2 linked regions of the Yarrowia lipolytica genome follow. The protein of the gene in region 2 binds, or shares a complex with, the protein of the main gene of each other region. Links are inferred from orthologs where the notes say so. Each region holds a gene or a part of one and is shown on either strand. Other genes may lie near its edges. The genes, in order: YALI1_A01777g and YALI1_B19747g.

Region 1 (3,544 bases), on a different chromosome or scaffold from region 2:
CGTCTGCCTCATCCATATAAGGGTTGATTAGTCGTCTTGCCACGTTGGCAGCAGCCAGCTGGAACAGATTGAGCATTCCGGTGGGGTCGTCCGCCAGCCGTTGACCCAGATCTCCATCGTACGCTCGGACATGAGCAATGTCCACTTCTATGGTCAGAATGCCGCCCAGAATGTTGTCTTGCAGCTGGTCTCGGTAGATGAAATTGCCGTCAATGTAGAACTCGCGGATGAAGTCGGCGTACTTGCGGGTGAGTCCGACGTTGGTGTCCTCGACCCGGTCGTCGTCGCCGGGCAGCACTTGTGTGGAATACACTCTTCCTGTATCGAAGGACATTGCGGATCTTGTGTGGCGGGGGGTGTGGTGAGGTGTTGATGAGAGTTCTTTTCGCACTGGGAGGAAGTGTGCACACGCGTTCGTTACTATTCCTATTCGGGACAAGTAGAAAGTTTACTGAAAAAGAATACACGATCGAACACCACACCATACAACCGGGCAACGGGTGAATGAAACGATTGGAGTCGGTAATTGTGACCTCCGAGAGCTTGGAAATTCACAAATATCTCAAAATTTCCGTCATATTCCGTCTATCGTCGCACAATCGCCCCGTCAAACCCCGCCACGGTTACCCCCTAGCAACGCGTAATAAAGTTGCCAAATTAATTAAAGGGTGAGAGCCCGCGTCTCGCGGTTAGGGCTGCAATGTTTGGGAGTGGCTGTTTTGGTCGGGGCCGCTTGAAACATGCAAACGCTGTATAAGATGGATTTCTGCTTACTAACATTCATCATTCTATTAATACAAATAAATACATTACCGTACAATCACTTGTCGTCCTTTTTGTCGTCCTTGTCGTCCTTGTCTTCCTTGTCGTCCTCGCCCTCAGACTCCTCTCCAACCTCATCATCCACAACCTCCATCTCCTCATCGGAGGCCTCCTCGAGATCCTCGTCCTCTCCGTCGCCGTCACCGTCGCCGTCGCCCTCGGCCTCCGCTTCACCCTCAGCCTCAATGTCTTCCTTGGCGTCAGCCTCAGTCTCTCCCTCGACCTCCTCCTCAACCTCCTCTTCCTCTTCTCCCGCTCCATATTCCTCCTCATCGTCTTCAAGGTCGGCGTCGGGCTGCTCAGGAGGGAACTCCTCGCCCTGCTCGCCCTCATTGTCCCACACAATGTTGAATCGAGTCACCCGGGGCTTCTCAGCAAGAATGTTTCGCACCACATGGTCCACCTGCACCTTTGGAGGGGGGTTGAGGCGCAGCTCCTCGCTGTCGTACTCGTTGTTGACGTAGTATCCGACTCGTACAAACTCGCGGTCGTTGTAAGAACACGACAGAATGATGACGGTGACAGAAACCAGCTCGGACGCGGGAATCAGGTCAACTGTGGGTGGGTCGGCCGTGAAGACGAACTTGTTGACTCCAACGGGAACCGGGCCCACCAGAAGCGAGTCGAGTTCCTGGTCGTGTTCGAAAGATGTGGACGAACCAACGTATGTGAGTTTCCATTCGAGGTCTGTGTTAGTAAGAGATATTGGGACATTCGTAAACCGAAGCCCTTGAGGACCCAGTTGATGAACCAGGAATAGTAATCCATCTCAACCCCATCAACTGATGGACAATTGCTGATTAGCTCAATCAACATTGGTGGATGCTCAACCAACACTTGGATAGATGCTGAGATGGAGACACTCCATGAACCCCTATGACAGCCTCATCCACCAGCCTACAACTCCCGATCAATGCACCTAAAAAAGAACCAATCAACAACTTGACATCAATCCAACGTCAATTAGATTGGAATAGTCTCTGCCACTGGCTCTCCATGTGTCTCTCCATGTGGCCCTCCATGTGGCCATCGCACTGCCTACCACCGCTCTCCCCGGTCTACTCACCATGCTTCAAAGGCTCGAGACACTCAAAGGTGATCTGGAACTCGTAGGGGCTGCCGAACGGCGCAGGGTTGTTGAGAACGTCAATGTTGAGTAACGAAACGATAGACATTGTGATTGTGACGGATGTGTCTCGTGTGTGTGTAGTAGGAAGAAAAGATTGTACAGGCAAGCGTAAGACGCGTCACTTTTAATTTAGCAAACTTTAAGACAAGTGAACCGCGTGAGTGCAAGAATTGACGGTGAGAGTACGAGCGAGTACGAGCGCACAAGTACCGTAATTGTAGATTGCGTGCTAGGAATGACTGAAAAACAAATGTCTGATGATCCGCCCCTTCGTTCGAAACAAAAAATCGTGATCGTAAATATCTTCCATAACATATACCACTTGGTTGCGATCCCACCGCCATACCCACGGCAACTGGATCTCTGCTGGATTGCTCCACTGAAGTTTCCCAGTTAATCTTAGAACGGAAATCTCAAAGCCGATTACTCAGACCGAGACGCCCATCAACCGCAGAATTCGGAAAGGACAACCAAATGGCCAAGTGCAGAGCCCAAGACTCGAACGCACAACAAGAAGACGATTTACCACTCCGACAAAATGCCATTACAGCTAAGTTTAAAAAGCGTTGGGACTACACACCCAGCCAATCAAGTCACGTGTTGCCCAACTTCAAGTGCGATTTTAACCACCTTTCGACGCAATTTTCAAGAATATAAATCGGTTATTGGGTAAAACCATATGTGATAGTTGCAATCATGCTATAAAATGCTGGAAATTCTGAAAACTGACAGCCGTATCGTTGATTCGAAAATCGGGCGTTTCCAGACTCTTTCTTTTCGGTGCTGGGGACGAACCAGAGGTCGGATGTGACAGAAAAAAGTACCAATCGACTCGTAGAAGCATGTAAAATTATCTCATCTCAATATCGTTTGTTTATAACCTCTCAAATACAGAATATCGCGACCTCTGATGTCACCATACAGTACAATACATCGCGTATATAGCGTATATAGACTATTGGACAACGACCCCCCCCCCAATGTTTCAACCCGCAAGAGTCCTTGTTGAGACGGCATTTGTGGTCATAATTGTGCCAAAAATCAGCCCGTGTCTCTTGGCACGGCCCCTTCCTCGAGCCGCGCCAAGAACACGTTTTTCGCCCTCTCAAAACGGCACTATTCTCGGACTCGTAGTAGTCGGACGCAACCTCACGGCCAACTCTAAATGCCACACTCTATAAAGCTCGGCATGCCGGGCTACTGTGAAACATGCATAACATAGGTGTCACCATTATCGACTATCACACTCGCAGTCCGAAATGTCGTGGCCGGTGTCTGCGCCGCAAAGCGTCAAACTGCTGGCGCCCGACGACGAGTGCATAGCCATTGAGGCGTCGCGATCCGGCTTTTTCCTCATAGCCCTCACCCACTCCTCCATCTACATCTACCAGCTCAACCCACTGTTTCCAGTGGCGGTCCACTCCCGCAGCGCATCGAGCCTGGACACGTACGGCGTCAACCGCAAGATCATCACCAAACGCGACGGCTCCCACGTGGGCGTCATCACGTCCGGCGGCCACGTGATTCTCTACTCGCTGTCGATTCTTCCGTATCTGGAGCCAGGCAACATCACCTTTGAAAGCAGCGGTACCA
Region 2 (4,495 bases):
CACTCGGCGTGACGAGAAACTGGTTCTGGAGCAGGTGCAGGGGGTGGGCCACAGAGACACGTGGAAGGTGTTGCAGATAGGCTACGTTGCCGGAAAGGTCTGGGCCTTACGTTTGGCACCTGATACGCTCGAGGCTGCCGCTAGATGCGTAACAGAAAAGATGCCTACCGAATTGCTGATCGCCACTAGCAAGGATGCTAAGAGCGCCGACAGTCTGAAGATTGACAACTGGACCGGCATCGACGAAGGCTGTGCCGCACTGCAAGAGATGCGCATCTTCACCACGGTCAAGGAGCAGGTTCTGTACCGTATCGAGCCCGTCAACCCCAAGCAGAAGAAGGCAGTATCAGCAGGACGAGTCAAAAAGTCTCGACAGGCGAAGAAAGACAAGTCTGCATTTTTGGGGAGCTATTATTAAAGCGGTAGTTGACTGAAAAAAGGCACATGCCAAATCAGACAATCGAGATAAGGTTGTGTGGAGTCAAATAGGCAAGCCTTGTGTCTCATGTGTACTGTAGATATTGTTTCAATCGACGTAAATGTACATATCGTATTACACAATCGAATGTGACAACCATCGTACTTGTGGAACTTATGTGTGCTGAAACCAGACTACTGTAGCTAGAGTTGTAATATTCGCCAGTTACAGGTATTATACGAGGCACACAAGGACAAGAGTTATCTTAGAGCCAGTTAGCAGTCTTATTAGTGCCTCGACAAGTCATAGAATGTCAGCTATGAAATCTTGATTGGGGACGTGGGATACCTGATAACCGCCTTCTGCTATTGAAAATTATGACATACTTATGGATACGAGCTACCCTGTAGAGCTACTTGAACGGTGCAGTAAGGCTTTGCACGGAGGAGGGGGTACAGCGGCTTCTGTGTGTGGTGTTCTACAGTGGGCAGGCACAATATGATACAAGTACATACTGTAGATTCGGTAGGTCGATGCTTGATGTATCGTACAAGGTGGGGTATTTTATTTTTCGTGGTGCGCGACTTGTGCCAAGACGTGAGCCCCATGGAATATGGGGATTCCACCTGTCAGGAGGGGGGACAGTTATACGCCAGGATCCAATAGCATCCAATTCAAATGCAAATGCAAATGCAACCAGCGGATTAGCCTTCACGATAGCCTGACTCGTGTTTTATTTTGATGGAGAGACAATGACAAAAGAGCGACACTGAACGTAGCTACCACTACGGTACATACCTTGTGATGTTCGGTCGTTTTTGGTATTCCATTGCAACATGCATGATTTAGGATGTGTGAGAGTACAAGTACTGTAGTCTTACTGTAGTTTATACTACGGCACCGTGTAATGTTGTCTTGTGAGTAGAAATATTTTCTGTTAGTGGCCAACAGCTTGTGTTGAAGCCCCTCTTTGACCCTTCCGTTCTCTTTGGCCTGAGCGACCGGGCAGATGTTTTTGGCAGATCCATTTCTCCCAACCCCCCAACCTTGCCTAATTGTTAGGACCGAGACCATAACGTCTAATTAAGCTACAGTAAGTAGAGTTTGTCCCAACATGCGAGGAGCGTCCACAGTGTGCATATTAGCTGGGTGGTGGGTATAGACTAAATTGGTGAAACCGACGACAGCAAAAAAGGAAGACAACTGGGCCGGACATTTAGAAAAAGTTGGGAGAGACAGGACTCAGCACACCAGGAAGCAACACAACCCATTGAAGACGACACATACCCGCTCGCCGGCCATTCCGCATCATCATGAAGGCCAAACCATTAACGATCCATTGGCACACCGACAGTGAGCCAATCTATTCACTAGACCTGCAGAAGGGCAAATATCATGGGGGAAGCCGTCTGGCAACTGCCGGAGGAGATGGTAACGTGCGAATATGGAGAGTCTCCAAGCCCGAGACTTCCGACACAGACACGATCGATAACTTATCGGTTGAGTATCTCGCTACCCTGACCAAGCACGAAGGAGCGGTTAACGTGGTACGGTTCGATCCCACGGGCCAACTGCTGGCCTCAGCCGGAGATGACAAGACGCTTGTAATCTGGTCGCTGGTAACCCGCAACGGCGAAATTGTGCCGCCAAAGAAGGAGTTTGGGCGGGACGATGTGGACGAAGAGTCGTGGAAACCGCGTACCCCGTTCGTTATGCACAAGCTGGACGCGAAACGCCCTCCACCGGAGGTGTATGATATTGCATGGTCGCCAGACTCGCAGTTCATTCTAGTGGGCTGCATGGACAACATTGGAAGGATATTCAGCGTGGCCACGGGTCAATGTGTTAGAGAAGTGGCCGAACACTCACACTATGTCCAGGGTGTGGCATGGGACCCTCTCAACGAGTACCTAGCTACACAGAGCAGCGATCGGTCCGTTCATATCTATGCACTCAAAAATAGAGAAGGAACGTATCTTCTGGATGCTGCTGAGCAGGAAAAGAACAGACTGGAGCTCCATCAAAAGTCTAACAAGGCAGAGCTGCCAGTTAAGAACGCGCCCTCCACACCAGTCATGTCATCGTCACAACTGTCATCAACTTCAGGCTCTCTGACGCCCTCAAGCCACCATCATCACGACATTGATGTGGGCACACCCAGCACTCCTGTCGGAAACATGAACCCTCCTTCCAGTACTCAGACACACTCGCGAAAGTCTTCTTTTAGCGGCTCCAACAGAAGCGAGAGTCCCCTGCCTTCCTCATTCATTCCTCTGCCAGCAGTCAAACCAGCGGAGTCGCCCAAGGTCAGAAACTCGGCGTTATACCAGAACGAGTCATTTCCGTCCTTCTTCAGAAGACTATCCTTCAGTCCCGATGGCAGTCTGCTCTTCACGCCAAGTGGAGTGTTCAAGTACGAAAACACAAACGCAGACACGAACACGGTCTATATCTACTCACGGGCAGGGCTGAACAAGCCACCCGTTGCTTACCTTCCGGGCCTTCACAAACCATCACTGGCAGTCAAATGTTGTCCTCTTCTCTTCAAGCTCCGTGGAACTCCTGTTGACACAGCAAACATCACTAAAGATAACACACCAGCTGGAGCCCCTAAGAATGACGAGACTGGCGAGAAAATGAGCTCTCCGGCATTCGCACTGCCCTACAGAGTCATCTACGCGGTGGCAACCCAGGACTCTGTGGTCATCTACGACACAGAACAGCATCATCCACTCGGTATTGCCACCAGCTTGCATTTTGCCCCTCTGACTGATCTGTCGTGGTCCGACGACGGCCGGAATCTCTTTGTGTCTTCTGTCGACGGCTTCTGTTCAGCTCTGACGTTTAGCAAGGAGGATCTGGGGGAGTTGTACACAGGAGAGGTCCCAGCTACCTCTACGGTAACTGGTGCTGCCCCTACTGCCACTCCAATGAAGACTCCACCCACCAGCTCAAATGAAACCCTGAGTGACAACCGGCCAAAGTTCTCGCAGCTGCCCACCGTTCCTTCCTTCACACCCACCTCCAACTCTTCGTCGGTGTTCAGAAGCATGTCTGCATCTTCCAGCCCGGCATCGGGAAGTTCTCAGATGAACATCATGACCCCGACTCATCGGCCTTTGCAAACAGTCAATGTTCCAGGTCTGTCTTCAGCCGAGTTGGACTCCATCTCCCGAGGGGCTTACGGAACTGCTAACCTAAGTCGACATGAGCGGGCCAGTTCCACTTCGTCTACAGATACTCAACGATCCGACTTTATCGCCCAGCCGCAGCCCAAAAAGAAACGACGTATTGCACCTACGTTGGTTCCTGAATCTACAGGTTCTTCTTCTCCTGCCAGTTCAACTTCGGCTCCAGCTACTGTCGACTCGGTGCTTAACAATGAGCCTCACGATAAAAAATGAACGCTACAGGATACCGGAGCGGCGCGTATATAATCAATAATTAATATGGATAAAAGAATAGATTTTGTGCTTGAGATATACAGCTACTGTACATACTGTATTTAATGGGATTGTGAGTAAATTAAGGACCTTTTACGCTTTTTTTTCTTCATTTTTTCTTCTTCTTTCAACTGTCCACATTTACTTGTATTCAGACACCGTGGTACAAGTATTGTACCTTGTGCTTGTAATATTTATACCACTGACAAAAGCGTGGATTCAGATTTGCTATCTGTTAAACCACAACCAGAGAGTCTTATTCTAAGTAGAGTCTCGCACTCGTATGTACATACCGTACATACTGTATACAGCTCACGCTCTTTCACATTTATTCATTCAAAGAGCTACTTTCCAACCATAACGACCAGGTTCAACATTTTAATTTATTTATGTACAAAGTGCTTATTTAATCATGTTGTTGATGAGGTCGGAGCTGGAAGCGGCGCGGGGAGATCGGCTTCCTCGGGGAGAGTAGTTAGTGTCTCGCTTGCCCTGGACAGTCATGACAATGTTTCCAGTCTTGCTGTCAATGGCAGAGGTCTGGACGTTGAAGTGAGAGACTCGCTGGCCATCTCGGTAGGGAGCGGTGGCTCGAGTGTGGTCGAGATCAAGCTTAGCAACGACACCTCCGATG

The links.
Region 1: the proteins of YALI1_B19747g (region 2) and YALI1_A01777g are in contact, whole or in part, in a crystal structure (PDB 2Z3F), measured with the Schizosaccharomyces pombe proteins. The link is inferred for Yarrowia lipolytica from reciprocal best matches to the Schizosaccharomyces pombe genes pcf2 and asf1. Residues at the interface, in NP_594450.1 of Schizosaccharomyces pombe: Lys503, Arg504, Ile505, Ala506, Pro507, Thr508, Pro509, Val510, Tyr511; in NP_588267.1 of Schizosaccharomyces pombe: Phe28, Asp37, Leu60, Leu61, Val62, Gly63, Pro64, Ile65, Pro66, Gly68, Ile69, Asn70, Lys71, Phe72, Val73.

What each region holds. Positions count from the first base shown.
Region 1 is NC_090770.1:176,285-179,828, forward strand, and holds YALI1_A01777g (uncharacterized protein), read right to left. Parts: upstream 1,998-3,544; coding exon 1,889-1,997; intron 1,510-1,888; coding exon 821-1,509; downstream 1-820. Other genes in the region: YALI1_A01766g (uncharacterized protein), read right to left, coding at 1-334; YALI1_A01794g (uncharacterized protein), read left to right, coding at 3,211-3,544. UniProt on the Schizosaccharomyces pombe protein: Histone chaperone that facilitates histone deposition and histone exchange and removal during nucleosome assembly and disassembly.
Region 2 is NC_090771.1:1,971,967-1,976,461, reverse strand, and holds YALI1_B19747g (uncharacterized protein), read left to right. Parts: upstream 1-1,731; coding exon 1,732-3,822; downstream 3,823-4,495. Other genes in the region: YALI1_B19774g (uncharacterized protein), read left to right, coding at 1-418; YALI1_B19713g (mitochondrial 37S ribosomal protein bS1m), read right to left, coding at 4,264-4,495. UniProt on the Schizosaccharomyces pombe protein: Acts as a component of the histone chaperone complex chromatin assembly factor 1 (CAF-1), which assembles histone octamers onto DNA during replication and repair.